Linked DNA regions of Callithrix jacchus. The protein of the gene in region 1 interacts with the protein of each later gene in a pairwise test. Links are inferred from orthologs where the notes say so. Each region holds a gene or a part of one and is shown in the gene's direction. Other genes may lie near its edges. The genes, in order: GOPC, CERCAM, VTN, MYOCD, RNF183, FOSL2 and HCK.

The links.
Region 2: the proteins of GOPC (region 1) and CERCAM interact in a two-hybrid assay, tested with the Homo sapiens proteins (2 studies listed by BioGRID and IntAct). The two-hybrid records come from large-scale screens. The link is inferred for Callithrix jacchus from reciprocal best matches to the Homo sapiens genes GOPC and CERCAM.
Region 3: the proteins of GOPC (region 1) and VTN interact in binary tests that used the Homo sapiens proteins (3 or more experiments, as listed by UniProt). The two-hybrid records come from large-scale screens. The link is inferred for Callithrix jacchus from reciprocal best matches to the Homo sapiens genes GOPC and VTN.
Region 4: the proteins of GOPC (region 1) and MYOCD interact in binary tests that used the Homo sapiens proteins (3 or more experiments, as listed by UniProt). The two-hybrid records come from large-scale screens. The link is inferred for Callithrix jacchus from reciprocal best matches to the Homo sapiens genes GOPC and MYOCD.
Region 5: the proteins of GOPC (region 1) and RNF183 interact in binary tests that used the Homo sapiens proteins (3 or more experiments, as listed by UniProt). The two-hybrid records come from large-scale screens. The link is inferred for Callithrix jacchus from reciprocal best matches to the Homo sapiens genes GOPC and RNF183.
Region 6: the proteins of GOPC (region 1) and FOSL2 interact in a two-hybrid assay, tested with the Homo sapiens proteins (2 studies listed by BioGRID and IntAct). The two-hybrid records come from large-scale screens. The link is inferred for Callithrix jacchus from reciprocal best matches to the Homo sapiens genes GOPC and FOSL2.
Region 7: the proteins of GOPC (region 1) and HCK interact in binary tests that used the Homo sapiens proteins (3 or more experiments, as listed by UniProt). The two-hybrid records come from large-scale screens. The link is inferred for Callithrix jacchus from reciprocal best matches to the Homo sapiens genes GOPC and HCK.

Annotation. Positions count from the first base shown.
Region 1 is NC_133505.1:123,873,956-123,877,455, reverse strand, and holds part of GOPC (Golgi-associated PDZ and coiled-coil motif-containing protein), read left to right. Parts: intron 1-716; coding exon 717-881; intron 882-3,500.
Region 2 is NC_133502.1:177,025,254-177,029,350, forward strand, and holds the start of CERCAM (inactive glycosyltransferase 25 family member 3), read left to right. Parts: upstream 1-1,297; 5' UTR 1,298-1,338; coding exon 1,339-1,535; intron 1,536-3,310; coding exon 3,311-3,421; intron 3,422-3,590; coding exon 3,591-3,708; intron 3,709-4,097. UniProt on the Homo sapiens protein: Probable cell adhesion protein involved in leukocyte transmigration across the blood-brain barrier. Does not express any beta-galactosyltransferase activity in vitro.
Region 3 is NC_133506.1:105,233,004-105,237,099, forward strand, and holds the start of VTN (vitronectin), read left to right. Parts: upstream 1-1,296; 5' UTR 1,297-1,361; coding exon 1,362-1,425; intron 1,426-1,518; coding exon 1,519-1,638; intron 1,639-1,715; coding exon 1,716-2,006; intron 2,007-2,085; coding exon 2,086-2,225; intron 2,226-2,459; coding exon 2,460-2,616; intron 2,617-2,814; coding exon 2,815-2,967; intron 2,968-3,415; coding exon 3,416-3,754; intron 3,755-3,991; coding exon 3,992-4,096. UniProt on the Homo sapiens protein: Vitronectin is a cell adhesion and spreading factor found in serum and tissues. Vitronectin interact with glycosaminoglycans and proteoglycans. Is recognized by certain members of the integrin family and serves as a cell-to-substrate adhesion molecule.
Region 4 is NC_133506.1:79,202,227-79,206,352, forward strand, and holds the start of MYOCD (myocardin), read left to right. Parts: upstream 1-1,326; 5' UTR 1,327-1,620; coding exon 1,621-1,675; intron 1,676-2,269; exon of another isoform or gene 2,270-2,315; intron 2,316-4,126. UniProt on the Homo sapiens protein: Smooth muscle cells (SM) and cardiac muscle cells-specific transcriptional factor which uses the canonical single or multiple CArG boxes DNA sequence. Acts as a cofactor of serum response factor (SRF) with the potential to modulate SRF-target genes.
Region 5 is NC_133502.1:161,615,265-161,619,474, reverse strand, and holds the start of RNF183 (E3 ubiquitin-protein ligase RNF183), read left to right. Parts: upstream 1-1,410; 5' UTR 1,411-1,629; intron 1,630-4,210. UniProt on the Homo sapiens protein: Acts as an E3 ubiquitin ligase catalyzing the covalent attachment of ubiquitin moieties onto substrate proteins. Triggers apoptosis in response to prolonged ER stress by mediating the polyubiquitination and subsequent proteasomal degradation of BCL2L1.
Region 6 is NC_133515.1:86,636,675-86,640,174, reverse strand, and holds part of FOSL2 (fos-related antigen 2), read left to right. Parts: intron 1-2,357; coding exon 2,358-2,876; 3' UTR 2,877-3,500.
Region 7 is NC_133506.1:7,148,722-7,152,801, reverse strand, and holds the start of HCK (tyrosine-protein kinase HCK), read left to right. Parts: upstream 1-1,280; 5' UTR 1,281-1,518; intron 1,519-3,231; coding exon of another isoform or gene 3,232-3,333; intron 3,334-4,080. Other genes in the region: uncharacterized protein C9orf85-like, read right to left, coding at 3,232-3,333. UniProt on the Homo sapiens protein: Non-receptor tyrosine-protein kinase found in hematopoietic cells that transmits signals from cell surface receptors and plays an important role in the regulation of innate immune responses, including neutrophil, monocyte, macrophage and mast cell functions, phagocytosis, cell survival and proliferation, cell adhesion and migration.

The DNA of each region.
Region 1 (3,500 bases):
TAAATATTATAATTCCTTTTTTAAATTTGATGCCTTTAGGAGTCATTATATTGTAATCTCAGTGCTTTAATGAACAAGGTGGCTTTAATTTTCATTTGGTGTAATACTTAGGCACTGAGCAAGTTCATTCATTTTTTTGGTACTGCTTAATGTAGAAATGTTCCTTATAATAAAAGGCTCATCTAATCTATATGTCTTGACCACTTACCTTTTTTAATGAGCTGCCTTCAAAGAGCATACATTTTAGCAGGACAAATAAGATACACACACACACACACACACCCCGTGTGTGTGTGTGTATCAAAGATACAAGCTAGAGAATGATAGGTACCAAGTACTGTATTTCTTCAATTCTACATTGCATATATTTTTATATTTTAACTTCTCTGAAATTGAAATTAATTGTATAATCTTAAAATTATTTTTGTGGCACCTAAAATAATTGGTCTTGTCATTGGTGATGATTCAGACTTGATAAAATATAATGGTGCTATGGAGTACTAACGTAAATTTTTTTAATTTCAGAATTTAGCCAATTTACTCTTTGGTAATAATTTTTTTTACCATTACTTACGTAGAAAATAAAATTTTACCCAACATTTATAGAGACAGCATAGGTGCTTAATGAAAGATTTTTAAGAAAATAGTTTATCTCCAGATTAATCAGTGACTATACAAAGAATGCTTTAATTTACTGCCTTTTATTATTGTTTTAGGGTGGGAAAGAACATGGTGTTCCAATCCTCATCTCTGAGATCCATCCGGGGCAACCTGCTGATAGATGTGGAGGGCTGCATGTTGGGGATGCTATTTTGGCAGTCAATGGAGTTAACCTAAGGGACACAAAGCATAAAGAAGCTGTAACCATTCTTTCCCAGCAGGTAAATTCCCTTAATATAATTAGAATTGGATCTATCAGTTACTTCTTTATAAATCTATTGAACACTGTATACTTCCCTATGAAGTTTCTAAAGCAGTAAAATATTTATACCTAGATCTTGTTTCCTTTGATTTAATGCTTTTATAAATGACATTCAGTCGTATTTACTGAAAATGGACATTTTGTTTACTTCATAACTTTGAGCAGGTTACTTAAGTCCTCTCTCCCACAGTGTCCTCCCCTGTGTGGGAGGGATTGAAAGAAAGCTGTGAGGATTAAATATGTTAATACATATAAAGGACTCAGAACAGGACCTGAGACCGAGAAAATCATCCTTAATGCCTAAAACACTATATATAAGGTATTACAGAAAAGACAATGCTAGAAGTGGATTGATTTTAGTCATAGAATTTTAAAATTGAAATTATCCATAGAAACTATCTAGCCCAACTGTCTTTCTTAAAATGAGTAAACTAAAGTTCTTAGAGATGAAAGGATTCCCTCCAAGTTGCCGAGCAAATAAATTATAGAATTAAGATTCATATTCAGGAGTCATATTTGTCATACATTTGTACTTAAAATGTTGTTTTGTTTATTTCTTTCAAGAATAGAGTTGAGGGAATTAGAGGCATTGGTAGTACATTGAGATGTTTTTTGGATCATCAGTGTGGTATGCCTCTGTAGAATTGAATCTCAGAGTTGAAAGTGAATATAGTTCATTGGTTCAATCCTATATGATGCCTAAATCTTCGCAACATCACTACTTCAATGATTATATTAAAGGAAGGACTTGCTGATATCAAGCAGTCCATTCCATTGTTATACAGGACTGATTTTTAGAAAGCTTTTTCTCATATTAAGCCTGAAATCTCTGTCTCCATGACAGCTACCCACAGATCTAATTCTGTCATCTAAAACTTTGCTGAAGACCACTGCATTGTCTGTCTCTTTCTGCAAAATGGTATTTTATCTCTCTGATAAAAGAGATCAAGAGTGCTACCCCATTCTCTCAAGTTAGTGTTTTATCAGCCCATCTTGACTGTCATCCAGTAGCAAAAGAGTGGGATGACTGGTGAAGGAGCTAGCAATAGGCAGTCATAGTTTTAAGGAAATGCTAACTAAGCACATACTAAATTCTGAGGTATAACCTTAAACTGCTGGGAAAGAAGAGCACCAAAGAGACTAACTTAGTGAGTAGCAGTTAAACATAGCATGCTTTCTTTTGAGCAAAGGCAAGCCATAATTTTCAGAGTTGCTAACACCACACTTGTATGTAGTGGTTGGAGTCTTATTAAATGACAATTATAGCTTCGAATTTTTTTTTAACATAAAATGTTCTGTACCTTTTTTTATTTTTTATTTTTTAGAGCTGGGTCTCACTCTGTCACTCAGGCTGAAGTGCAGTGGCACAGTCATGGATCACTGCAGGCTCAACCTCCCAGGCTCAAACAGATTCTTCGCCCTCAGCCCGCCAAGTAGCTAAGACTACAGGTGCATGCCACCATGCCCAGCTAATTTTTTTTTGTAGAGTTGGGTTTTGCCATGTTGCGCAGGCTGGTCTAGAACTCCTGAGCTCAAGTGATCCACCTGCCTCAGCCTCCCAAAGTGCTGGGATTACAGGCGTAAGCCACTGTGCCTGGCATGATATGTAACTTTTTATTTGAATGTGTCATTGTTAAAGAATGACAGTATAAATATTACACAATTATTCTGACATAATACAAAGAGCAAGGACTGTACAGTCAAACTTTTATTTTTCTTTATTCTTGTTTATTATATAGGGAAGGTTATCTGCTTTCTCCAGACTCACTCAGGTTTCTCATTCATGTAAAAGAGACTATAGCAGGATTATTCTAAGGATTGAAAGCTATAATTAAATATATAAATATAATAATTACTATTATTGAATAAAAAACAAAAAATCATTTTGTAGAAAATTCATTTCCTGAATCAGTTAAGGAAAGTTTTTATGATTTCCTTATTTAATATCTGACTATTTAGATGTATTTGCTGAATTTCTGTGTGCATTACAACATGGCAAAATAACTTTTAAACTGAATTCTTGTTCTAAAATTCTATAAATTTAATAATTAAGCATCCTTTTATATTTTAGACCTATTAACAAAAAGATTATGGTCAGTAGAAAGAGCTACTATAATGTGTAAAGGACCTGTAGAGAGGATTCACGGGGCTGATCTAGACATGATGACCTCACTACCTCTTTAGAGTCTAGAATTTCATTATTTGTTTTCTGGATATGACCTATCTCTGAGATCTCTCCACCCCTAAGCCTCCCCACAAAGAATTTGGAAATCCTTATTTTTTTTCTTTTTGAGATGGAGTTTCACTTTTATTGCCCAGGTTGGAGTGTGATGGTGCAATCTTGGCTCACTACAACCTCCGCCTCCCGGGTTCTAGTAATTTTCCTGCTTCCACCTCCTGAGTAGCTGGGATTACAGGCATGCGCCACCATGCCTGGCTAATTTTGTATTTTTAGTAGAGATGGAGTTTCTTGATGTTGGTCAGGCTGGTCTCGCACTCCTGACCTCAGGTAATCTGCCTGCCTTGGTGTCCCAAAGTGCTGGGATTACAGGCATGAGCCACTGTGCCTGGCCTGGAA
Region 2 (4,097 bases), on another chromosome or scaffold:
TGGCAGGGTGGGGGGGTGGGGGAAGCTGTCAGTGCATCATTCTCTGGAGGAATCCTGCAAGCCCTCCCAAATGGGTGATGTTGTCAGCCCCATTTGGGGAAAGTGACCTGTCTCGGGTTGGTTGTGGACGCCCAGCTCCATCCCATTTGTGGTGCCACCAGGCCTCTCCCTTTTCTGCTCCTCTCCGGAGAGGCTGGAGAGTCCTTTCCCTCCCAGCAGGGTCCTAAGGACACTGGCGGTGCCCCAGGGGAGCCAACATCCCCTGCTTTGGAGGGCGGCTAGGTCGCTGTGAGCAGCTCCGTGGTGTCCCCTTGTTCTACACTCAGACTAAGAGAGGGCTGTGTGTTTTGTTTGTTTGTTTCTTTTTGAGACGATGTCTCGTTCTGTCACCCAGGCTGGAGCACAGTGGCACGATCTCGGCTCACTGCAACCTCCGCCTCCCAGGTTCAAGCTATTCTCCTGCCTCAGCCTCCAGAGTGGCTCGGGTTACAGTCGTGCGCCACCACACCCGGCTAATTTTTGTATTTTTAGTAAAGATGGGGGTTTCACCATGTTGACCAGGCTGGTCCTGAACTTCCGACCGCAGGTGATTCGCCCGCCTCGGCCTCCTAAGTGCTGGGATTACAGGCGTGAACCACCGCGCCCAGCCCGGCTGTGCTCTTAAAGGGCCGGAGCAATGCTGGTGCTGGCGACCGAGGCGAGGAGGTGATGCGCAGGGGACTTCAGTCGCAGAACGCCGCGGGAGTACAAACCCAGGTCGGAGGATCCCTCCGCGCCCCCCACGCAGGTATCGATCTCGGGCCCTGGCGTGGCCCGATTGGTCTGAGGAGCTGGCGCCGGGGCCGCCAGAGGGCGCCCGGGGTGAGGGGGAGGAGGGGACGCGAGCCGGGGAAGCCCAGGGAGGGCGCCGCCCTGCGGGGGTCTGCAGCTCTGGTCCGAGGGTCGGCTGCATGGGTCGGGGAATCTGGATTCCGTGGGTTCAACGCCCAGGGGTTCCAAGAGCCCCGACAGTTCTCGGACGCCCGGCAGGCTCCGACGCACTCGGCCCAGCACCCCTCCCCCGTCACCGTCCTCGGGCCCCTCCCCGGTCGCCTCTCCGGGCGGGGCTGCTCCCGGGTCAAGGCTGGCGCGGGTCTTCGGGCCCTGGCCCTCCGGTGCCCCAGGCCGAGGACAGAAAACTTGAGCATCCACACGCAGGGGTAGAGAGTGGGGGCCACTCTGGGGGTGCACTGCCCCGCCCCCTCTGGGTCCGCCTCGGCCCCACCCGGGCCTCAGGCCCCGCCCCCTCCCCTCGGCCGGAGAGCCCCGGGGGCCGCTGCAGCCGCCAGAGTGCCCGCCATGCGCGCTGCCCCCGCTGCGCGGCTGCTCAAGCTGCTGCTCCTGCTGGGGTCGTGGCTGGAGGCTCCGGGTGTTGCGGAGTCACCGCTGCCCGCTGTGGTCCTTGCCATCCTGGCCCGCAATGCCGAGCACTCACTGCCCCACTACCTGGGCGCGCTGGAGCGGCTGGACTACCCTAGGGCCAGGCTGGCCCTCTGGTGAGAGACCCGGGCATTGGCACCCAGTGGGCACCTAACCCCCAGCCTTGCAGGCGGCCCCTGCCCCTGGTGGCCCTCTCCCCTCACTCGCTGCCTAGTCACCACCCAGACAGGCCTCTCCCCTCACAGACGGCCCTGCCAGCCGGAGGCCCCAGCCGGGACCCCAAAGCGCCTGCTGGGTGACGACAGACCTCTGAGGCCACAGGCTGACGAGGGATACCCACTCCTCCTTCTGGTCCCCTACTCCTTCCTCTTGGGGCCTTCCCAAGGGTAGATTGGGCCCAGCCAGCCCTTTTCACCCCAGCCTAAAGAGCCCAACCCAACCTTGGTGGGACCTGTGGCTGGCTGGATTTGGAGAGGAGCAGACAGGAACCTCTGAAGTCCCCTGGGGCCCAACGTGGCAGGGATAGGCCAGGCTGGAGGCTTTAGGACACAGGTGGGGGGTGAAATCAGCACTGGGCTCCGGACTGTGCAGGGGAGTCTGTTCAGCTCCCCCTCCCTCAGGGCTGAGGCCAGCTGTCTTGGTAGAGGGGCGGGGTCCAGTCAGCCAAGAGCCCCCCTCACTGGAGCCTCTCCCCTCTGGCACCTCTGTACCCACAGGGCAATGGGATAGGAGGCCACGACCCCTAGTCTGTAGACACCAGAACAGGGGGGAGTCCCTGCCCGAGGTTGGGGGTAAACAGAAAAATGACAAGCCACCCTTTACAACACACCACACAGGGCTGGGGGGGTGGAGCCCTGGCCTGGGGAGGCCGCCCACAATTACCACAGTTTGGGAGTTAGTTAGTTCCCACCCCTGTAAGACTTGACACGTAATCTTCATTTCTGGGGAACTGGCTTAAAGGGGCAGCATCACCCAAAACCTGGGATCTTGGCTAAGCACCCCTCTGTTATGGGAGCCCCTTCCCCAGGAGAGGGGAGGCTGTGCCCCATGACAACAGAGCTTGGGCCTAGCTGCATTCTCAGGGATGCTCAGAGCAGGATTTGGTCCTTATTACAACTCGGGGGTGGAGGAAAGCAGCAGCTCTTTGTCTAGTTCCCATTCAGAGAGGGACAGGGGCTGGCCTGTTGTCACACAGCCACAAGTCACACAGGTAGGTACCTGCCCACCTAACAAATGTAATCAGGGAATGCAGCAGGTGTGATGCTTAAAGTTGAGGTACTTTTCATCTTTCAAAATGCATTTGTGGGCTGGGCATAGGGGCTCACTCCTGTAGTTCCAGCACTTTGGGAGGCAGAGGTGGGCAGGTCACCTGAGGTCAGGAGTTCGAGGCTAGCCTGGCCAACATGGTGAAGCCCTGCTAAACACACAAAAATTAGCTGGGCATGGTGGCAGACACCTGTAATCTCAGCTACTCAGAAGGATGAGGTAGGAGAATCGCTTGAACCTGGGAGGCGGAGGCTATAGTGAGCTGAGATCGCGCCACTGTGCTCCAGCCTGGGTGACAGAACGAGACTTCATCTCAAAAAAAAAAAAATGCATTAGTCTTCTCTGTTTTGGCCTATGACATAAGGGGGACAGATTAAGTTATAGAGGGAGGATGTGAAGCCCGGAGAAAGATGGGACTTGCCTGAGGTAACACAGTAGGTCACAGAACTGTGTTGGGGACCTGGCTGGGCTGCCTCCAGCGCCTCTGCTGTAGCACACCCAGCCTTCACTGTTCCAAGGAGAGCCCGGCCTCAAAGGTGTGGGTGCTTCGGGGTTAAGGCTGCCTTGGGGTTCAATCGTTCTGTTGCTGTGCCGCCTCAGCCTCCTTTTTTCTTCCCATCCCCAGGTATGCCACGGACCACAATGTGGACAACACCACAGAGATGCTGCAGGAGTGGCTGGCGGCTGTGGGTGATGACTATGCCACTGTGGTCTGGAGGCCCGAGGGGGAGCCCAGGTGCTGATCTGAGGGGAAGGGTGCTGGGGAAGATGGAGAACAGCTGCAGCCTGGAGAGGAAAAGGGACAGCCCAGTGCCACAGCCTCCAAGCCAGGGCTCGGTCCACTGCCCTGCAGAGAGAGAGGGGCATAGACCCCATGGGAACATCTCACCTCTCTACCCCCTCAGGTCCTACCCAGACGAAGAGGGTCCCAAGCACTGGACCAAAGAAAGGCACCAGTTTCTGATGGAGTTGAAGCAGGAAGCCCTAACCTTTGCCAGGGACTGGGGGGCTGACTATATACTGGTAAGGAAGTCTGGCTAGAATTGGGCTACTGAAAGGTGGTAGTTTCTGTCCCTGATAGAAATATGGGTGCAGGCTGGTTGCAGTGGCTCATATCTGTAATCCTAGCACTTTGGGAGGCCAAGGCAGGTGGATCTTGAGGTCAGGAGTTCGAGACTAGCCTGACCAACATGGTGAAAACCTGTCTCTACTAAAAATACAAAAATTAGCTGGGCATGGTGGTGCCCACCTGTAATCCCAGCTCCTTGGGAGGCTGAGGCAGGAGAATTGCTTGAACCCGGGAGGTGAAGGTTGCAGTGAGCCAAGATCGAGCCACTGCAATGCAGCCTGGGCAACAGAGCAAGATTGTCTCAGAAAAAAAAAACAAAAAAAACAATAATTAGTTGGGCGTC
Region 3 (4,096 bases), on another chromosome or scaffold:
GCCTCTGGGTCCCGCAGGGCTCCTCCCACTGCCTGGGCAGCCCCACCCCCAAGCCGCCCCAGTCACAGCCACGCCCACGCCCCGGCCAACCTCCCCCAGCCCCTCAGTAGCAGCCGCCTCTCTCTGCGCTGGACTTGGACTAAGGGGGTGGAGAGTGAGAGGACGGTCTCAGTTCTCCCCCCGCCCCCTGTGACACCGGTACGTGGGAGCAACTCCGCTGTGTGCCCCCTCCCTACTAAATGGTTAAAGCAATCATCATAACTCTTAAGACCCTTTTATGCCTGTTTCTCAGCGAAACCTCATAACATGCCTATCAGGTGGGGATTGGTGTCCATTCCACAGATGACGGGACTGAAGCCCATGGTGAAGAGATTGGCCAAAATCAAAATTCCCTCTGATTACAGAACAGAAAACGTCAGCTAAAATCTTAGCATCACTTCCTTCAGGTGATGGGAGGGCTTCAGAAGTTCTGTGGATACCTTAAATTGGGCACAAAGTTAGGTGTTTTGTGCCAGAGGGCACTTTCCAGGTAGAGGGATCATATTTCTCTTGAGAGCCTAAAAGTGTGCTGAACAAGCCCACTCTTTACAGATGGGGAGACTGAGGCTGGGGACAGGGAGTGGCCTGCTCAGAATAAGTGAAAAGACTCAGAAATCAAATCCAGTCCAGAGGGTTGATATTTACCCAAATTTCCAGCCTGGGGAGATTGATGCACCCAAGAGAAGAACCCAGAAATAAAACTTTGTTCTTTTATGCTAAAAAAGAAAATTCCCCAGGGTGCTTACAATTTCTCCTCCCACTCCCTTATTCTGCCCTAAATAAACAATAGCAAATGAACACCCAACCAGGGATGTGTCTGATCAAACAATCATGGATCAATAGCCGTTTTTGGAGAAGGAATTTGTGGCTGCTCCAGCTACTGGGCATTTTGTCTGCTCTAGTTTATGTAGTCTCCCGACACCCCATGAGGCAAGGCTTTGTTTGTCCCACTTTACTGAAATGAACTAAGACTCAGAGAGATAAAGCTGTTGCCCAGTGATCCTTCTTTCTGCCCTCCAGACCCACTGTGCTAATTCCCTCTTCTGATGACCTAATGATTCTCAGCTTGGCAAAGGTCTTATCTCCCAGCTCTCCCAGACCCAGTGTTTCAGGAATGTGACCCTTAGCTGCAGCAGCTGCCGGAGGAGGGCAGAGGGGGATGGGCTGGAGGTTGAGCAAACAGAGAGGCAGAAAAGGCATTTCCTCTTCTCCAGTCCCCTCCCTCCCTGTCTCTGCCTCTCCCTCCCTTCCTCAGGCATCAGAGCAGAGACCTCAGGGAGATCAGAGCCCAGCTCGCCAGCCACTGAGCTAGAAGCCCCGTCATGGCACCCCTGAGACCCCTTCTCATGCTGGCCCTGCTGGCATGGGTTGCTCTGGCTGACCAAGGTACAGGAGGGTGTTGGCGGCTGTCTGAATCTATGTAGGGTGGGCGAGGGTGGCCCGGGCTTGGTGGCACCGACTGACACCCCTTTCTCATAGACTCCTGCAAGTATCGCTGCACCGAGGGCTTCAACCCCGACAAGAAGTGTCAGTGTGACGAGCTCTGCTCTTACTACCAGAGCTGCTGCATGGACTATATGACTGAGTGCAAGCCCCAAGGTGTGTTCAGAGCCCAGGCGGGTAGGCTGGGGTCCTCCCTGCAGCTGGAGACTCACTATCCTCCACTCTCTCTGCAGTGACTCGTGGGGATGTGTTTGTCATGCCGGAGGATGAGTACGGGGTCAGTGACTATGATGAGGAGAACAAAAACACCACCACCACGCATCCACAGCCAGGAGGGCCCTCCATGACCCATGACCTCCAGGCCCAGCCTGAAGGGCATCCTGAGCACCCACCTGTTATGACCTCAAGCCTTGATACCCTTGATCAAGGGGCCTCTGAGACCCTAGCAGAGGAGGAGCTGTGCAGCGGGAAACCCTTTGATGCCTTCACTGACCTCAAAAACGGTTCCCTCTTTGCCTTCCGAGGTGATTCCAAGGGCAGGTCTTGGGGATGGGGGTCTGCCCCACGAGCATCCCCACTCTCACACCACCTCCTCCATTCTAGGGCAATACTGCTATGAACTGGATGAAAAGGCAGTAAGGCCTGGATACCCCAAGCTCATCCGAGATGTCTGGGGCATTGAGGGCCCCATCGATGCCGCCTTCACCCGCATCAACTGTCAGGGGAAGACCTACCTCTTCAAGGTGCCAGGGGCTGTGGGTCAAGGTAGAAAGCATGTAGGGAGGGTTTGAGAGCTATTGCTCCCAGACCTGGGCCCTGCAGGACCTTGTGGGGGCTCTGTGAGCACAGGGCAGTCCCAAGACTCCAGGTCCTGGGCAGAGAACCTGGAGCTGGGAACGGCTGCCTCAGGGCAAAAGACTCTGCCTCGTGCCCAGTCAGCACCCTGCATACCTCCTTTCACCTTCCCTCCCTCTTAGGGTAGTCAGTACTGGCGCTTTGAGGATGGTGTCCTGGACCCTGGTTACCCCCGAAATATCTCTGACGGCTTTGATGGCATTCCGGACAACGTGGATGCAGCCTTGGCCCTCCCTGCCCATAGTTACAGTGGCCGGGAGCAGGTCTACTTCTTCAAAGGTACCCAGGGGGCGGGTGGGAGCCTGGGCAGGTTTCAGAGCAGTCTCAGATTCCTTTCACACTTCACTGGGGACAGGCCTCAGCGTGTGCCCAACCCCTACCCCACCTCATGGTGGGAGCTCCTAACTTCAACAGCCTCTGGGACCTCCAGTCTTGCTCTGGCCCAGCCCTCCTAATGCCCACCACCCCACTCCTCAGGGAAACAGTACTGGGAGTACCAGTTCCAGCACCAGCCCAGTCGGGAGGAATGTGAAGGCAGCTCCCTGTCGGCAGTGTTTGAGCAGTTTGCCATGATGCAGCGGGACAGCTGGGAGGACATCTTCGAGCTTCTCTTCTGGGGTAGAAGCTCTGGTATGGAGAGGGGGCAAGTCTTGCTTCTCCCTCAAAAGGGCTGGAACCCCTGTGTAGCGGTAGAGCCAGGCTGGCTGGAGGGGCTGTGGTTGTGGAGCTATCGATCAAAGGCTATTTGCTCAGGCTAGACTTTGCTTCTGTTGACCTTCTGGGGGAAACTCAGCTCCACCTGGACTCCACACCTTGGACTTTGCCTAGCACAGCTGAGGGTACAGCCAGCAGAGGAGGGGCTGTGGCTGAGGAGTTTAGGGGGCCTAGGGTCGAGACACTATGGAGAGGGTGCAGGGGGAAGGGCATTGGACGGAGAATTAAAGGCCTGGCTGCTGGGCTCTGCCATTAGCTGCTGTGTGTCTTTGGGCAAGGTGCAGCAGATGAATTCTAATGGCCCTGCTGGAGGGGCCAAGACTCAGACCCCCAAGACCTCTCATTCACCCCTTCCCTGCCACAGCTGGTACCAGACAACCCCAGTTCATCAGCCAGGAGTGGCACGGTGTGCCAGAGCAAGTGGACGCAGCCATGGCTGGCCACATCTACGTCTCAGGCATAGCACCCCGCCCCTCCTTGGCCAAGAAGCAAAAGTTTAAGCATCGCAACCGCAAAGGCTACCGTTCACGCCGAGGTCGTAGCCGTGGCCAACAGCAGAACTCCCGCCGGCCATCCCGAGCTACTTGGCTGTCCTTATTCTCCAGTGATGAAAGTGACTTGGGAATCAACTCTTATGATGGGATGGACTGGCTTGTGCCTGCCACCTGTGAACCCATCCAGACTGTCTTCTTCTTCTCTGGAGGTAGGAGCCCCTGCCACCCCCGAGGCTGGTCTAGCTTGGGTCTTCCTTGCTGTCCCGGGTCCACAGGGGCTGAATACAGGCTGCAGGTAGTGATCACAGAAAGCCAGGCCAGGAGTCCTTAACTGCATGGTGGATATTTACTTTTCCTTCTGGAAGATACCCTAGACTTTCTTCTCAAAGAAAGAGTGGGCAGGAACTGGCTGGGCCTCACACACCCTCTGCTTTCTTCTCTTCCAGACAAGTACTACCGAGTCAACCTTCGCACACGGCGAGTGGACACTGTGGACCCTCCCTACCCACGCTCCATCGCTCAGTACTGGCTGGGCTGCCCAGCTCCTGGCC
Region 4 (4,126 bases), on another chromosome or scaffold:
TCTGACCCATCAGGAAGAAGGTGTCTATTCCTGAAGACCTTATTTACAAAAAAGACCAGCTCAGATCCAGAGATTGAGCTCAAGGGCTAACCCCGTAATATGTTTCCAGCAACAACGGATGGGGCAGAGGCCGGGACTCAGGGCATTAGAGGTTGTCCCATGAGCTATATTGTCACCTCGGGTCTCCATCGGTAACCGAGTGATCTTTTAAGGACTGGTAGTAAAGACATAGGCAGGCTTGTGTGTAACAGTCGACACCCGGGAACCCACGTGCACATGAGGTTGCAAATCAACCCTAATTATATACGTATATAGAGTGTGTTTTTTTTTAATGTTCTGAGCCACCAACTATTAAACCAGCTTCTCGAGAGCTGGGTCTTTGTATTATTTCATTGATCCATGTGCCTAGAACACCTCGGCAAGATGCTCCAATAACTCTGGATCGGTTACGGAATTAACTTTCGCCTATGGAAAGACTCATTTGCAGGCAGTTTTTGCGCCTTTCCAGGCTAACCCCAACCAGAGCTCTGGCTTGCCCTCTGCTCCAGAGCCCCTCCCTATTCACAGTCCAGTAGGGTTTTGACTCAGACTCAGGTATCTTTCCCCATTCCCTCGGGTTTGGAGGTGGGAGCATTGAGTCGCCGCTGGATCTCCAGATGCACCGAGTCACATCCCCCAGCCTACCCCCAAAAAAGCATATCCTAGAAAAATGCAAGCTTTTCCATTTTCCCCGTGGAAATGCATCCAAGTCCGGTATTGGAGCTGCGAGACACAGAATCGTCCCTGCCTGTGCACTGAGCCCCTCAAACCGAGGGGAAGGTGTGGGCTTCGGTCCTTCGGAGGCGTTTCTTCTCAGGGGTCCAGCTGATTTCCAAACCGTCCCGCGGGCGCTCACGCCCTTTGCCGCCGGCTGGAGGGAGATCCCGACCGCGTCCCTCCGGCAGGCAGAAGCCCTGGCGGGGAAGCCCCGGCTGCGCACGCCCATGCCCAGGCCCGCAGAGCTCCCCGCGCCGCCGCAGCCCCGCGCACCACCTGCAGGCCCCGCGGCGTGGCAGCCCCTCTGACTTTCCTCCGGGCCTCGGTTCCTTAGCTCTGGCCCCTCTCGCGGATTCCCGACCCCCGGCCCTGCTCCCGCCCTCTGCGCCCCGGAGGCCGCGGGGCCCGCTGCAAAGAGTTAAGAGCCGGCTCCCGAGACTGCTCCGGCGGCTCCGGGTCCCCCGGGCCCCGCTCGCCGCTGCTGATTGGCTGAGCGCCTGTCAGTAGTAAAGAGTATCGGGTGGCAAAGTTGGGACCTTCATAAAGGCGTGGTGGCGATTCTCCGCAATCGCCGGCAGCCTATGACATCAGCCAGGATCGCCTGGGATGCCGCTGCCCCCAGCCAACCTCCGAGGAGGAGGAGGGTCCCGCCGGCTAAGAGTTAATTAGCCCCGCACGGCGAGGGGGGGAGGCGCCAGTTTTCTGGGGACACTGGCTGCCACTGTACTCCTACCCAGGGGAGCTCACGGCGAGTTGGATGAATTCTGGGTTGTTAGCTGCGGTCAGCTGGGCTCCCGGGAGCCTGTTGCTGGTGGAGAACAGGGGGCGCCTGGCAAAGGGACCCGCGGCTTGCTGAGCCTCAACATGACACTTCTGGGGTCTGAGCATTCCTTGCTGATTAGGAGCAAGTTCAGATCAGGTAGGGCATTTAGCATTCCTTCTTGAACTTTCCTTTTCTGCCATTCTCAACTCTAGAACTGCTTTCCAATAAATGTTTCCAAGCCTGCCAGGTCTACCTCAACTCTGTTCCCCAAAAGCACATTGTGGAAGCAAAGAATTTTATTTGACTTTTTGGGGGCCTTTTGTGTCTTCCGTTGTAAGTGCTTTTGGGTAGTAGAGTGTGGTTGTTCTTCTGTGAAAAGGTCAATCCTTCTATTTTATTTTCTCTGTATCTGTGAATAGAAATCTTGGAGGGGTACATTGAGAAGGGGCAACTTTGGAGACGAACGAATAAGGGATTTCAAGCTTGGACGCTGCGTAGTATCAGTTATGATCGCTGAGAAGATGAACCTGATGTTTGTGTGTTAGGTACAGGGTCATTTAAAATGTAGCTAATCCAAACAAAGTATTTCCCAAAAAAAGTCACTTGGAGGAAGTAAAAATAGCAAATTTGGAGCACACCAAGTATTTAAAATGACATCACTGTAGAAAAAAAAAAAGAAAGCCCAGTGCCACAAATATTTTTTCCCAAACCATCTGATATTTATAAATGGAGAATTTCCCCGAAATTTCTGTGTTAGTGGCACATGGAGAAACTTCTCAAAGGACGCTGAGTGGAGGTGAGTGGAAGGGAGAGACGGGAGCTCTAGCTGCTTCTCAAGAAGGGTTTGTGCACGTGCCCATGGAAGGTGTCCGTGTGGGTCTCCACGTTTAGACAAATCAACACTTGACTTCTGAAGTTATTTTTCGGTAACTCTGTGTATAATGTTGGTTTTAGAAAACTGGTTAACAACACAATAATGTAGAACGTCTACTTAGATTGGTTACTTTTAGGAGAACTCTGATGCGAATATTGACATAACAGGTGTCAGAAAGATACAGGCATGGTTTGCTAAGCTTTCGTAGCCCTTTACATGGGGCCAACGCAATTGTTTCACGTGGGATGGATGTTTCAAAAAGGAAAAATGTAGCTGCTAGGAGGTAAGGTTCATCTGTGACTTTCTTAGATGCCCTTGGTTTGTAGATGCCTGTGGGGTCAACTGGAGATTTTCTTAGGATCTTCACCGTTGACGCAAGTTGAAAACTCAGGAGCTTAGGCGGTCACAAGCCTCGCTGCCCCTGACGCTCTGGGATGAGTCTACCAGCCACCGGGGTCGGTAGTGGATTACGTCCTGCCTTTCCGTGGTGAGGTGAGGCGGTTGATCTGTTAATTAGCTAGGGACCGCGCCGCTGCTTTGTATTTGGTCGAAACTGCAAGGCAACACTGCCACCTTTCTGAAGAAGAGAGGATGTAGATTCGTTTTGTATGAAGCTGCATTCACTTCAAATGCTTCCTTGCCAGTTGAAATGTAGAGGGTCTGGGCGTGCTGGTTTGTCTCTAAAAGGATTTGGTGATGTACTTGATAGTAGACTTGCAAAACACCTATCGATCCCTCCTTCAGCTGAAGTGCAGTGGAGAGGAAAGGCAACGTTTGCACCACTCCCAACTTCCATTTCAGTGGATTTGGGGAGTCCTGGTGTCTCCTAAATAGACCCTGAAAACCCTGATCCTGGAGCTTCAGAGAATTCCAGCCTCACTTTTTAAGAAAGTTATGCAGGCTTTTGTGTCAAAAGGAAGGGTGGATTTGGGAAAACATGATATCAAAGCAGAAGCAGGCGTCTTTTATCCTCCCATCACTGATAAACAGGGAATCTGGAGTCTGAGATGCAAGCGTTGATCGTCTCTTGACAGACAGGAGAAAAAACAAGTGGAATGTAAGACTTAGAAACGTAATGTTTCAATGGTAGTTATTCTTTCCGGATGTAATTACTACTCTGGCTGGGCCAGCATTGAGGTGACAGCGTGCTGACAGTAGGGTCTCTCTTTAAGAGAACGCCGTTTATTTTGTGGCTAACAATGAATAAGTGCCTCGACTTTATTTTGATTTCTCGCTCTCTTTCACTATTTTCCCTTCTCCTTCATCATCTTCTCCTCCTCATCTTTCATAAGCAATTCAAATGTAAACTCATAAAACTGATTCGATCTCACTGCGAATATTTGCTTTGATAGTAGATCATGGTATTATGTATTCCATTAAATAAATGCAATGAAATTGTTCTCTGATTACAGCAACAGACTCACTGTGACAGGGTTGTTTATAAGTGAGCAGATAACTGCTTTTACTCTGAAATCATTGATGTCAGCCATGTCCGATCAACTTTCTATAAGCTGTAGTTGAGTGACCTCTTGATTAAGGACAAAATCATGCTACAGCAGCAGTAAACTCTGAAAGTTTACCTGTATGAACATGTTTGGTGATACAAACTCATTTGAAAAGCATGGGTCTCAGGGCCAGACTCGCTGGGTTTTTAATAGTAATCTCTACTCATTAGCTGCATGACCTTAAACGTTAGGTAAATTACATAATTCTCCGTGCCTCAACTTGCTTCC
Region 5 (4,210 bases), on another chromosome or scaffold:
GAGAAAGTTTTCACTATGAAATCAAACCATTCACGTGCTCAACCATGTAAATATATAACCTATTTAAAAATCAAATTTGGACATGGTGACTCAAGTGTAATCCTAGCACTTTTGGTAGGTGGATTGCTGGAGCCCAGGAGTTTTGAGACCAGCCTAGGCAATGTGGAGAAACCCCATCTCTACAAGAAATACAAAAATTAGCCAGCCACAGTGGCATGCACCTGTAGTCTCAGGTACTCAGGAGGCAGAGGTGGGAGAATTGCTTAAGCCCAGGAGGTTGAGGCTGCAGTGAGCTGTGATCATGCCACTGCATTCCAGCCTGGATGACAGAGTGAGACTGTCTCAAAATAAATAAATACATAAAAATTAATGTAAAAAAACACAAAATGAGGAAACTGGGGCTTTTGATTACATCACCAAGCAGATACGTTTATTTACTTATTTCTTTCTCAAGCACTACTGAATATGTCAGTAAAGAAATAAGGGACCAGACATGGTGGCTCACGCCTGTAATCCCAGCACTTCTGGGAGGTCAAGGTGGGCAGATCACCTAAGGTCAGGAGTTCGAGACCATTCTGGCCAACATGGTGAAACCCCGTCTCTACTAAAAATATAAAAATTAGCCGAGCATGGTGTTGGGTGCCTGTAGTCCCAGCTACTCCAGAGGCTGAGGCAGGAGAATCGCTAGAACTCTGGAGGTGGAGGTTGCAGTGTATCAGTATCACTCCACTGTATTCCAGCCTTGGTAACAGAGCAAGACCATGTCAAAGAAAGAGAGATAGAGAGAGAAGAGAGGAGAAGAGAAGAGAGAAAAGAAGAGGACCATAGGTACAAACAGAATTTGAGTGGGAACAAAAGATGGGCCATGTGAACAGACTGGTCATATAACAATAATTGTTCTGGTTAACATTTACTGTATTACTGTGTGCCAGGCACTGTGTTATTATATGACCCCGATCACCTTGTTAATCTGCAGATTGAGTAGGTAGGTGATTATGGCCGTTTTCAGGTGAGGAAACTGAGGCTGGCAGAAGTTAACTGATTTTCTCAAGTCTCCATCGCTAGTTAAGTGGAGTTTGGACTCTCAGTGAGTACTGAATTCTGACCTAGAAGTATGCCTGGCTTGAGAACACTGGCTCTTCGGGTAGATGCTCAACTGCCTCTCTCCGACTATTTTTTCTGCTGTATTAATGGCCACTGTTGTTAGAGCCGTTTGTATTTTGGTTGCAGGGGCTCAGCAGGAAGAAGGATCCATCTGGGCAGAAGCCAGGAGTTGAGGCGGGTCAGCCACAGAGGGCAAGTGGAACCGGAGGGGATGGCAGGAGATCAACCCATCCAGAACAGAGGCCTGCAAGGATGAGTGCACTTCAACCCCCTCGGAGCAAAAGCCAGAGTGACTCACAGGAGGAAGACAAAGCAAGCAAAGCCTCCAGGGTGTGCAGGGAGTCCAAAGTCACCAGAAGGAAGAAGAAAACCTGAAACAGCCAGAGCTGGCCAAGCCTGCTAGGACCTATGCAAATGAGACCCACCCATGCTGCCTGGAAATCGGGCCTGGGAATTCAGAAAACAAAGCTCATGTGTGCAGGGCTGCAGGGACGGGTGGAGGAGGCTTCGGCTCTGAGGGAGCAGGTAAGGAGCCAGAGAGGGTCGCAGAGGGACGGGTCACCCAGGCCCCAGAGTCCTGAGAGAAAGAAGTGCGCAGCAGGTAAACTCTGGCCTGGGACGGAGGGCTCCTGGGTTCATCTTTCATCTCAGCTGCTCTTTAGCTGGGAAGCCTTTGGCAAGTCGCCTCACCCTTCTGAGCCTTGACTTCCCCATCTAGAAAATGGATCTAAAAATAATCATGCTAGGTCTGTATTGAGCACCTTCTGTATTCTACTGGGCACCTTATAGACTCTTCCTTCCACAGAGCAACTCTGGAGGAGTGGGATTATTAGCCTTTTTTACAGAGGAAAATGAAGTTCAGAGAGGTTAAGCCATTTGTCCAAGACAAATCGTTCCAAATCTGGTTCCAAAGCCGGCATGCTTTTGACTCCCCACTCAGCCTCTCTCACAGGGTGGTTTTAGAGTATCAAACGGCCTTCTGCAAACACAACAAAAAAAATCCTAAAAGGCAAGTAACCTATCAAATGGATCATCATGCTTAGATTTTAGCAAGGGCTAAACTATGAAGTGCTATGAAAATGCCAGTTCTTGGCTGAAAACATTGGAGTGACGCTAGGGACAATTGATATTTGGTGATGACTTGTTCTTAGACCAGGGAGATGACTTTGGGGCAGTGTTTAGGATTTACTGTAGCTGAGATGTCCTGACGTGGGGTGGGGTTGGTGCATGGCCAGAGCCTCTCCCCAGCTGATCCTGAAACAACAGATGATCCCTGGGGGAGCAGCACAGATAAAGGCCCAGGGAATAATGATCCTTCCTCCTCTTGGACAGCCCTTTACAGCTCTGGCTGTGGAACTTCAGAGAATGTAGATCTGATGTGGGGGGAAACAGGAGATCTTTACTTGTAGTAATACAAGCTTACCGGAGTAAAGCTAGAATTTTCAGGTAAAATTAAAAATAAAAAACCAACGTTTAATCTTGCCCCAGAGGTAACCACTGCTAATATTTAGTTGTTTATGTTTCCAGACATGTTTTCCTATGGTGCACACGGTTTTGAAAATTGGATTATATTGTAATATGGTTTTGTTGCTGGTTCTTTTTGCCTGATGACATTATATCCGAGGCATATATCCATATTAATAGTTTTATCACATCATTTTAAAGGGTGCATAATGTCGCTTTCTATGGATGGAGCAGAATCTACCTAATCAATGTCCTATTACTGGATGATGAAGTAGTTCTCTGTAGGTCACTGTTAAATCAGGGCCTCGATGGGATTCTCTGTAATCACGTCTTTGCAGAAGTCCTTGATGATTTCCATGGAATCCATTCCCAGTGAGGGAATTGATGAGTTGGGGCTACATATAGTTTAAGGCTTCCGATAAGTATTAAAGGTCTGTTTCTGCCACACTCTGGAATTCAGGGGCTCCTCAAAACTTGATGCAGAAAATTTTGTCATGGCTTTGAAGTCAACCTTGACCCTTCCTCTCTCTCAAATCTATTTACATTAATAATTCCAGCTGCCTCATATCCATAACAATGTTTTGGTCAACAACAGACTACATATATGATGGTGGCCACATAAGATCATAATACCATATATTTACTGTGCCTCTTCTAAGTTTATGTTGAAATACACAAATACTTTCCATTGTGTTACAATTGCCTACAGTATTCAGAACACAATATGCTGTATGGGTTTGTAGCGTAGGGGCAATAGGCTAGACCATACTGCCTAGGTAGATGCTACCATCTAGGTTTGTGTAAATATGCTCTGTGATATTAATACAATGATGCATTTCTCTGAACATATTCCCATTGTTAGGTGATGCATTGTTGGCTTTTTTTTTTTTTTTTTGAGGTGGAGTTTTGCTCTTGTTGCCCAGGCTGGGGTGAAACGGCACCTCCCAGGTTCAAGTCATTCTCCTGCCTCAGCCTCCCGAGTAGCTGGGGTTACAGGCACCCGCCAGCATGCCCAGCTAATTTTTTGTATTTTTAGTAGAGACGGGGTTTCTCCATGTTGCCCAGGCTGGTCTCAAACTCCCAACCTTGGGTGACGCACCTGCCTCAGCCTCCCAAAGTGCTGGGATTACAGGCATGAGCCACTGTGCCCAGCCAGTTCATCACTTTGTAGTCCTTACTGGGTGCTGGGCTCTAACTAAAAGCTTTACTAGTTTTGGCTTCCTTTTCATATGGAAAAAATAGAGGCACAGAGAAGTCAAGCAATTCAACTGGAATCACAGCCCTAAAAAAGCCATGGATCTGTTCTCATGAACCTTGACAATCGTGTTCCAGAAACTACAGTCTCGATCCTAAGAACTCCACTGCTTCTTGGGAAGTGGCTTTGGTTCTGTTCCCAAAGATATCACTTACCTGATCCCCTTTTATCTTCTCCACTACCACCTGACCTGCACCAGCACCACCATCGCACATCCGACAGAGCCCAAGTGGGTCTTCCCTTCCCACGCTTGTCCTCTCAGTCTGTCCTCTGCTCTGTAGCTAGAATGGTGTTTTAAAAATGGAAATAGGGGCCAGGCGCAGTGGCTCACACCTGTAATCCCAGCACTGTGGGAGGCTGAGGTGGGTAGATCACGAGGTCAGGAGT
Region 6 (3,500 bases), on another chromosome or scaffold:
TTATAATTTTTTTGAGATGAGTTTTGTTCTCGTCACCCAGGCTGGGGTACAGTGGCATGATCTCAGCTCACTGCAACCTCTGCCTCCTGGGTTCAAGTGATTCTCCTTCCTCAACCTCCCAACTAGCTGGGATTACAGGTGCCTACCACCATGCCTGGCTAATTTTTGTATTTTTAGTAGAGACAGGGTTTCACCTATTGGCCAGGCTGGTCTCAAACTCCTGACCTCAGATCATCTGCCCGTCCTCAGGTGATCCACCCACCTTGGCCTCCCAAAGTGCTGGGATCACAGGTGTGAGCCACTGCAGCCGGCCCATCCCTCACTTTAGTTAATGTTCCCAGGCACCATCTACCAGCCTAGGCTTCTCTTTCTGTACTGCAGCCCTCACGCTGGGGTGTTGAATGAATTGAATTGCATGAATTCTGTGATGCCTGTAGTAATGTCCCTCGGAGGTGTGAGAGCCGGGGAGGATGAGTGGGAATTCTTTATACCCAGGCAAGGCAGATCCACAGTACACTGCCTCAGCCAGCCCTCCCACCACTACCTTTTCTCTGGTTGGCACTTCAAGGAGCTGTGCCCCATGTGGCGCTCCTTACCACCCGCCTGAGAATAGTCCTGCCCCCCGAGGCCCCTCTCATTTCTTCCTCTCCTCCTAGAAGCCTCACACCCCACTCCCCTGCCTCCCCCGCCCTCTGGCCCAGCCACCCAGGCCCCTGAGCCACATCCTCCACAGGAAGCCTCTCATAAGCTCATGACGTTCATCAGACCCTTGAGACAGACGGAAACTTTTTTTCACTCCGGAATATGCTGTACTCTGCTTAATGAAGCCCTTGTCTGTATCTCCTCACTGATGAACAGGCATCCATGTTAGGGAAAACAGGGGGAGGCTGCTGACACACACCCTCTCCCCTCCCACATAGGCCCCTCCATGTGCACTTGCTCGCTTCTGCTTCTCTGGCTGGGGATGAAAGAAGTGGGGTGAGGTCCTTGCGGGGTGACCCTGGTGTCCTCACAGGCCCTCTCAGGCTGTCACGTTACTTCTGTGTCAAGCATGGTGGCTGAACCGCATGTTCTCTGAGGGTTCTGGGAGTCCTGAAATATGTGCTTAAGAAAGTAGAGCGAAAGGCTGGGGGTAGTGGCTCACGTCTATAATCCCAGCACTCTGGGAGGCTGAGGTGGGTGGCTCACCTGAGGTCAGGAGTTCAAGATCAGCCTGGCCAACGTGGTAAAGCCCTGTCTCTACTAAAAATACAAAACTAGCCAGATGTAGTGGTGGGCGCCTGGAGTCCCAGCTACTATGAAGGCTGAGACAGGAGAGTAGCTTGAACCCAGGAGGCAGAGGCTGTAGTGAGCAAGATTATGCCACTACACTCCATCCTGGGCAAGACAGAGTGAGACTCTGTCTCAAAAAAGGAAAAAAGAAAGAAAGAAAGAAGAGAGAGAGAGAGAGAGAGAGAGAGAGAGAGAGAGAGAGAGAGAGAGAGAGAGAGAGAGAAAGAGAAGAGAAGAGAAGAGAAGAGAAGAGAAGAGAAGAGAAGAGAAGAGAAGAGAAAAGAAAAGGAAAGGAAAGAAAGAAAGAAAGAAATTGGAGCCAAAAAAAGGGAGAAGAGGCTGTGATGATTCCATAGGGATATGCTGAGCACTTATTAGAAGCCAGGCACTGTTCTAGGCACCGGGGATACAGGAATGTGCGTGACACAGCCTCCACTCTCTTGCAGCCTTGGGCTTAGCGTGGATCCATCAACAGCTGGGCTGGCATGGGGTTGGGAGGAAGAGAAGGCGAGGACTGCACAGAGCTGCGTTCCGTGCCCCTTCTCCATGCAGATCTCTGCCGTACTCACCCCTCGGGTACCAGGGGGCAGTCCTGGCCCCAAGGCTGTAGAACATAGTAGTAGCACATAGATTCTGGAGTCAGATACAATGGGAATCTGATCTGGGCTACCCCACCTGCTAGCTCTGTGACTTTGGAAAATTAGCACAACCCCTCGAACCTCATTTTCTTCCTCTGCAAAATGGGGTGATGGTAACATCTTCTTCCAAAAACTGCTGGAAGATTGAATAAGATCACCTATGAAATGCTTAACCCAGTGCCTCGCACACAGTAGGTGCTGTGTTATGGCAGCTGCAGTTGTTATCGCACCCCCTCTCGAAGCTAACTCTCCTTCTTTGGAAATTAAAGGAATCTTGAGCCTCCAGGTGACTCAGACCAGTGGGGTCTGTGGTTAGGTGTGTGAGCCTGTGCTCTCACAGTGTCTGAGGGCATTACTGGTATTCTCTTTCCTGCCTAGATTGGAACTGCCCCCCAGCAGGGTCCCTGGCAGGTTGCTGTTCCTCACATCCCTCTCTTTCCCTGGCAGGAGACAGAGGAGCTGGAGGAGGAGAAGTCGGGCCTGCAGAAGGAGATCGCTGAGCTGCAGAAGGAGAAGGAGAAGCTGGAGTTCATGTTGGTGGCTCACGGCCCCGTGTGCAAGATCAGCCCCGAGGAGCGCCGATCGCCTCCAGCCCCCGGGCTGCCACCCATGCGCAGTGGGGGTGGTGCGGTGGGCGCTGTGGTGGTGAAGCAGGAGCCCCTGGAAGAGGACAGCCCCTCGTCCTCATCGGCGGGGCTGGACAAGGCCCAGCGCTCTGTCATCAAGCCCATCAGCATTGCTGGGGGCTTCTATGGTGAAGAGCCCCTGCACACCCCCATCGTGGTGACCTCCACGCCTGCTGTCACTCCAGGCACCTCAAACCTCGTCTTCACTTACCCTAGCGTCCTGGAGCAGGAGTCGCCTGCATCGCCCTCTGAGTCCTGCTCCAAGGCTCACCGCAGAAGCAGTAGCAGTGGGGACCAGTCATCAGACTCCTTGAACTCCCCCACTCTGCTGGCTCTGTAACCCAGCTCACCTTCCTCCCCAGCTTGGGAGGGGGTCCTCCTCGCTCCTCCTTCCCAGGGACCAGCACCTTCAAGCGCTCCAGGGCTGTGAGAGCAAGAGGGGGACCTGCCAGGGAGCTTCCTGGCTTTGGGGGATCCAGGTGGGACTTGGCAGTGAGTATTGGAAGACTTGGGTTGATCTCTTGGAAGCCATGGGACCTCCTCCCTCATTCATCTTGCAAGCAAATCCTGTTTCTTGAAAAGCCTTGGAGAACTTGGTTTGGTGGACTTGGACATCTCTCTGGCTTCTGAAGAGCCTGAAGCTGGCCTGGACCATTCCTGTCCCTTTGTTACCATACTGTCTCTGGAGTGATGGTGTCCTTCCCTGCCCCACCACGCATGCTCAGTGCCTTTTGGTTTCACTTTCCTCGACCTGCCCCTTCCCTCCCTAGTGTCAGTTTCAGTCCCTCTTGGTTTTTATCAGATTTGCCATGACATTTCATCTGGGTGGTCTGAATATTAAAGCTCTTCATTTCTGGAGACGGGGCAGCAGGTGACTCTTCTGCTGGGGCTGACTTGTCCAGAAGGGGACAAAGTGCAATACAGAACTTCCCTACCCTGGTGCTTCCCAGTGCACCATCTCCAG
Region 7 (4,080 bases), on another chromosome or scaffold:
GCGGGTAGAGTCCAGGAATGCTGTTCAACATCCTGTCATTCACAGGACAGGCCCCGTGGCCCAAATGTCAATAGTGCCAAGAAGCCCTGCATTCCCCAGCCCCCAGCACAACATTGCTGAATGAATTATGAATGAATGAATAAATGAACGAATGAAGAAATGACGGTGGCCCTGATCAGCTGGTAGCAACTGGAATAGAGAGATGCAGTCGGATTCCTGTACATTTTGGAGGTGCGTTAGACAGAATTTAGGGTGATAGCCCCCGTCTTTTCCAGGAGAGGGTGCGTTTTGTCATTGCTTGGGGCTGGGCACAATTTCATCCATTTAGGGCCCCAGTCACCCTCCAGCCGGACTCCTCACTTCCCCGACCACCTCCCCCAGCTTGGGAGTCCTCTGAGCTGCCCAGAAGCCAGGGTGGTTCCTTCAAGAAAGGAACTTTGCATGGAGTCTGAATGGAGTAGGCCTGAGGAAGGGAAACCACTGACCACAGACGGGCCTAGAAGGCTCGGGCAGCGGCGTTGGGGAGGGCCAGGCCAGAAGGCAGGGGTTGGAGTGGTGGAAGAAAGGGATCATGATTATTTCCGGGGTAGGGTAAGACCTTTCCAGGGTGGGGCTGGAAGACTGTGGCAGGAATCCTTTGGTAGGATCTGGACGTCAGGGTTGGAATCTTTGGACCGGCAGGATAGACCCCTGGGCATTCAGACTCTCAGGCGGAGGGAGGTTGGGGTCGTGCAGGAGCAGGAGCCCTGGGGTTAGTGTTTTAAATCTTTAAGGCACGGTTAGAATCCATTGAAGAGAGAGTTCGAATCCTTTCGTTGGGCGGATTAGAATCTTTGGAGGGAAGTTTAAAATCCTTTGGCGGGCGGGGTTCGGATCTTAGGAGCATGCGAGCAGGTGTTGGGGTTTTTAGACAGGAGGATTCGAATCCCTGGGGGCGGGATTTGGATCCGTTGGAGACCGGGGTAGGACGCTGGGCAGTGGGATTACCTGCCTTGGGGGAGGTGTGAGGGAGAGTGGAGCGGGGAGGGGGCGTTAGCATCCTTGGTGGACGCGTTAGAAGCCTCCGATGGTTGGTGTTAATTTTATTTTATATTTTTCCTTGGTGGCAGGTTTGGGATCCTGCTTGCAGGAGGCGGAGGTTATGACCCTAGAGGAGAGGGTTAGGATCCCGGGTTGGCTTCTGAGTCTTCGGGGCGGCGTTAGGACACGCGGGGCGGGGTTAGCATAGCTCAGGGCGCGGCCAAGGCGCCCAGATGGCCTGCGGGCGCCACCGCGTCCCCGGTACCAGCCCGGGAGCACATCAGAGGCTTAGAGGCGAGTGGGAGGGGACCTAGACGGTGCAGGGCGAGAAAAGCCCGCGGGGGCACCAAAGCCCCTTGGAGCGCCGCCCCCCACCTCTAGTTCTAGAAAGTCAGTTTCCAGGCACTGACACCCAGGAACCCCGGGGACTGCCGAGCTGGGGGGGCGTTCGAGCTGCGAGGATCCGGGCTGCCCGCGAGAGGGGGAGCGGGCGCCCAGGTAAGTGCCACGCACAAGGGACCGGGGACACCCGGCCCTCGAGGGGTCCCAGCCGGCGGAGGGAGCCTAGGGTCCCGAACAGGGCTGGATGTGAGTGCTGCTGGGGGGCAGCAAGGGGAGACGGGGGCGTCGGGGGAGCCGCGGGTAGCCTGTGGCGTGAAGGGTCGACAGCAAGTGGAGGGTGCCCAGGTGAGGGGCGGCACTGCTGCGGACTGCTGGATGCCCGGGGGAGGGGACGCTCTGGCCGGTGCAGTGACTTTATCCACCACTTCTCTGTGTCGTCCAGGTTCCCCTTCTGAGGGGGGGAAAAAAAAATATATATATATATATATATATATATATATATATATATATATATATACATATTTATTTAAAAAAATAAAAAATTTTAAAAAACAAGAAGGAAGGGATGGGGTTTCACAGGGCCTGGGAGGGGAAGGCCCTTACGGTTCCCGGCGGGGGCCGGGTCACGCAGGGTTGGCAGCCAGCTTGGGGAAGGGGGCAGCTGGGCGGAGGCGTGACGTGCGAGCCACACCCAGGCCGGCTGCAGCTGGTCGGCTCTCTGCCCCTCCTCCCACAGCATGTCCAGGTCAAACCCCCAAACCTCCTGGCCAAAGCTGTCACTTTCCTCCTTGTTGGAGGAGTCATTCTCCCGCTCCGAATTCGTTTCCTCATCTGTAAAACGGGGCTATGAAGTCTTTCTTGCAAGGCTGCAAGAAACTGGAGTATGCGAGAGGTGGGGCGTGTGAGAGACAGGCTAGTGGTCAGGGGAGGCGGATTCTAGGCGCAAGCTGCCCGTCGGGCCTGGGGTGGAGGATTTGACCTTTGCCTCCGTTTTCACTACTGCAGGATGGGGAGAGTAATAGCACCTCCTTCACAGGGTTGTTTAGAGGATTAATTGGGTACTGAAGACCCCGGGCCGGGTGACCCATGTCTGCAACCCCAGCCTTTTGGGACTCTGAGGCAGATAGAGCTCCTCAGGTCAGGAGTTTGAGACCAGCCTGACCAACATGGTGAAATCCCGCCTCTACTAAAAGTATAAAAATTAGCCAGGCATGGTGGCGGGCAGCTGTAATCCCAACTACTCGGGAAGCTGAGGCATGAGAATCACTTGAACCTGGGAGGCAGAGGTTGCAGTGAGCCAAGATTGCACCATTGCACTCCACCCTGGGCAACAGAGAGAGATTATTTTAAAAAATAAAAGGTACTGGGCCGGGCGCGGTGGCTCATGCCTGTAGTCCCAGCACTTTGGGAGGCCGAAGCGGATGGATCATGAGGTCAAGAGATCGAGACCATCCTGGTCAACGTGGTGAAACCCCGTCTCTATTTAAAAATACAAAAAGTTAGCTGGGCATGGTGGTGCGTGCCTTATAATCCAAGCTACTCAGGAGGCTGAGGCAGGAGAATCGCTATCACTTAAACTAGGGAGTTGGAGTTTGCAGGGAGCCCAGATCCCACCACTGCATTCCAGCCTGGCAACAGAGGGAGACTGTCTCCAAAATAATAATAATAATAATTTACTAAAAGTAACAGAAAATATTGAAGTCTCCCCACTTCGTATGGCTCTCAGTCCTGTTTCCCTCCCTCCCTAGGGGTAACTGCTGTCATGAATTACAGTCCTTCCAGGTTGTGCTTTTAAAAGTGTATTGTGTAGGCCAGGCACAGTGGCTCATGCCTGTAATCCCAGCACTTTGGGAGGCTGAGGCCGGTGGATCACAAGGTCAGGAGTTCAAGACCAGCCTGGGCAACATGGTGAAACCCTGCCGCTACTAAAAATACAAAAATTAGCTGGGCATGGTGGCACACGCCTGTAATCCCAGCCACTCAGAGGCTGAGGCAAGAGAATCGCTTGAACCTGGGAGGCAAAAGTTGCAGTGAGCCAAGATCACACCATTGCTCTCCAGCCTGGGCGATGGAGTGAGACTCTGTTTGAAAAAAAAGGATTGTGTGTGTGTATGTATACATATAAACAACACGTAGGACTGTTTTGTGTACTTTAAAAATTCTATCTATGCAGTTGCTCATGCCTGTAATCCCAGCTACTTGGGAGGCTGAGGCAGTAGAATCGCTTATACCTGGGAAGCAGAGGTTGCAGTGAGCCGAGATTGAGCTATTGCACCCCAGCCTGAGCAAGAAGAGCAAAACTCCATCTCAAAAAAAAAAAAAAAAATGCTATCTAACTATGAGAGCTTTCTGCAATTCTAAGAGGATAGCAGAGGAGCATATTTCCCCCTTCTTATCATTAAGTTGTCAAAATCTATCCAGGATGAGAAATAGAAAATAGAGGCCTAATTCATTCCTTCCAGCTGCTGTGGAATATCCCAGCAGGTGACCACGCTATATTAATTCTCATTCCTCTGGATGAATACTGAGGTTGTTTCTAGGCGTGCACTACAGCAAGCAATATTGCCAGGAGTATCCTGGATGTGTAGCCTTCGGCCTACGTACAGATGTTTCTTGAGAAAAACATCAAAAGCCTGGATGGCTCCCCAGGGAGGGCACCTGTCACCCTCCCCTTTGTGTGAGAGGAGTACTGAAGCCTGGAAGGGTCACCCAGGGACT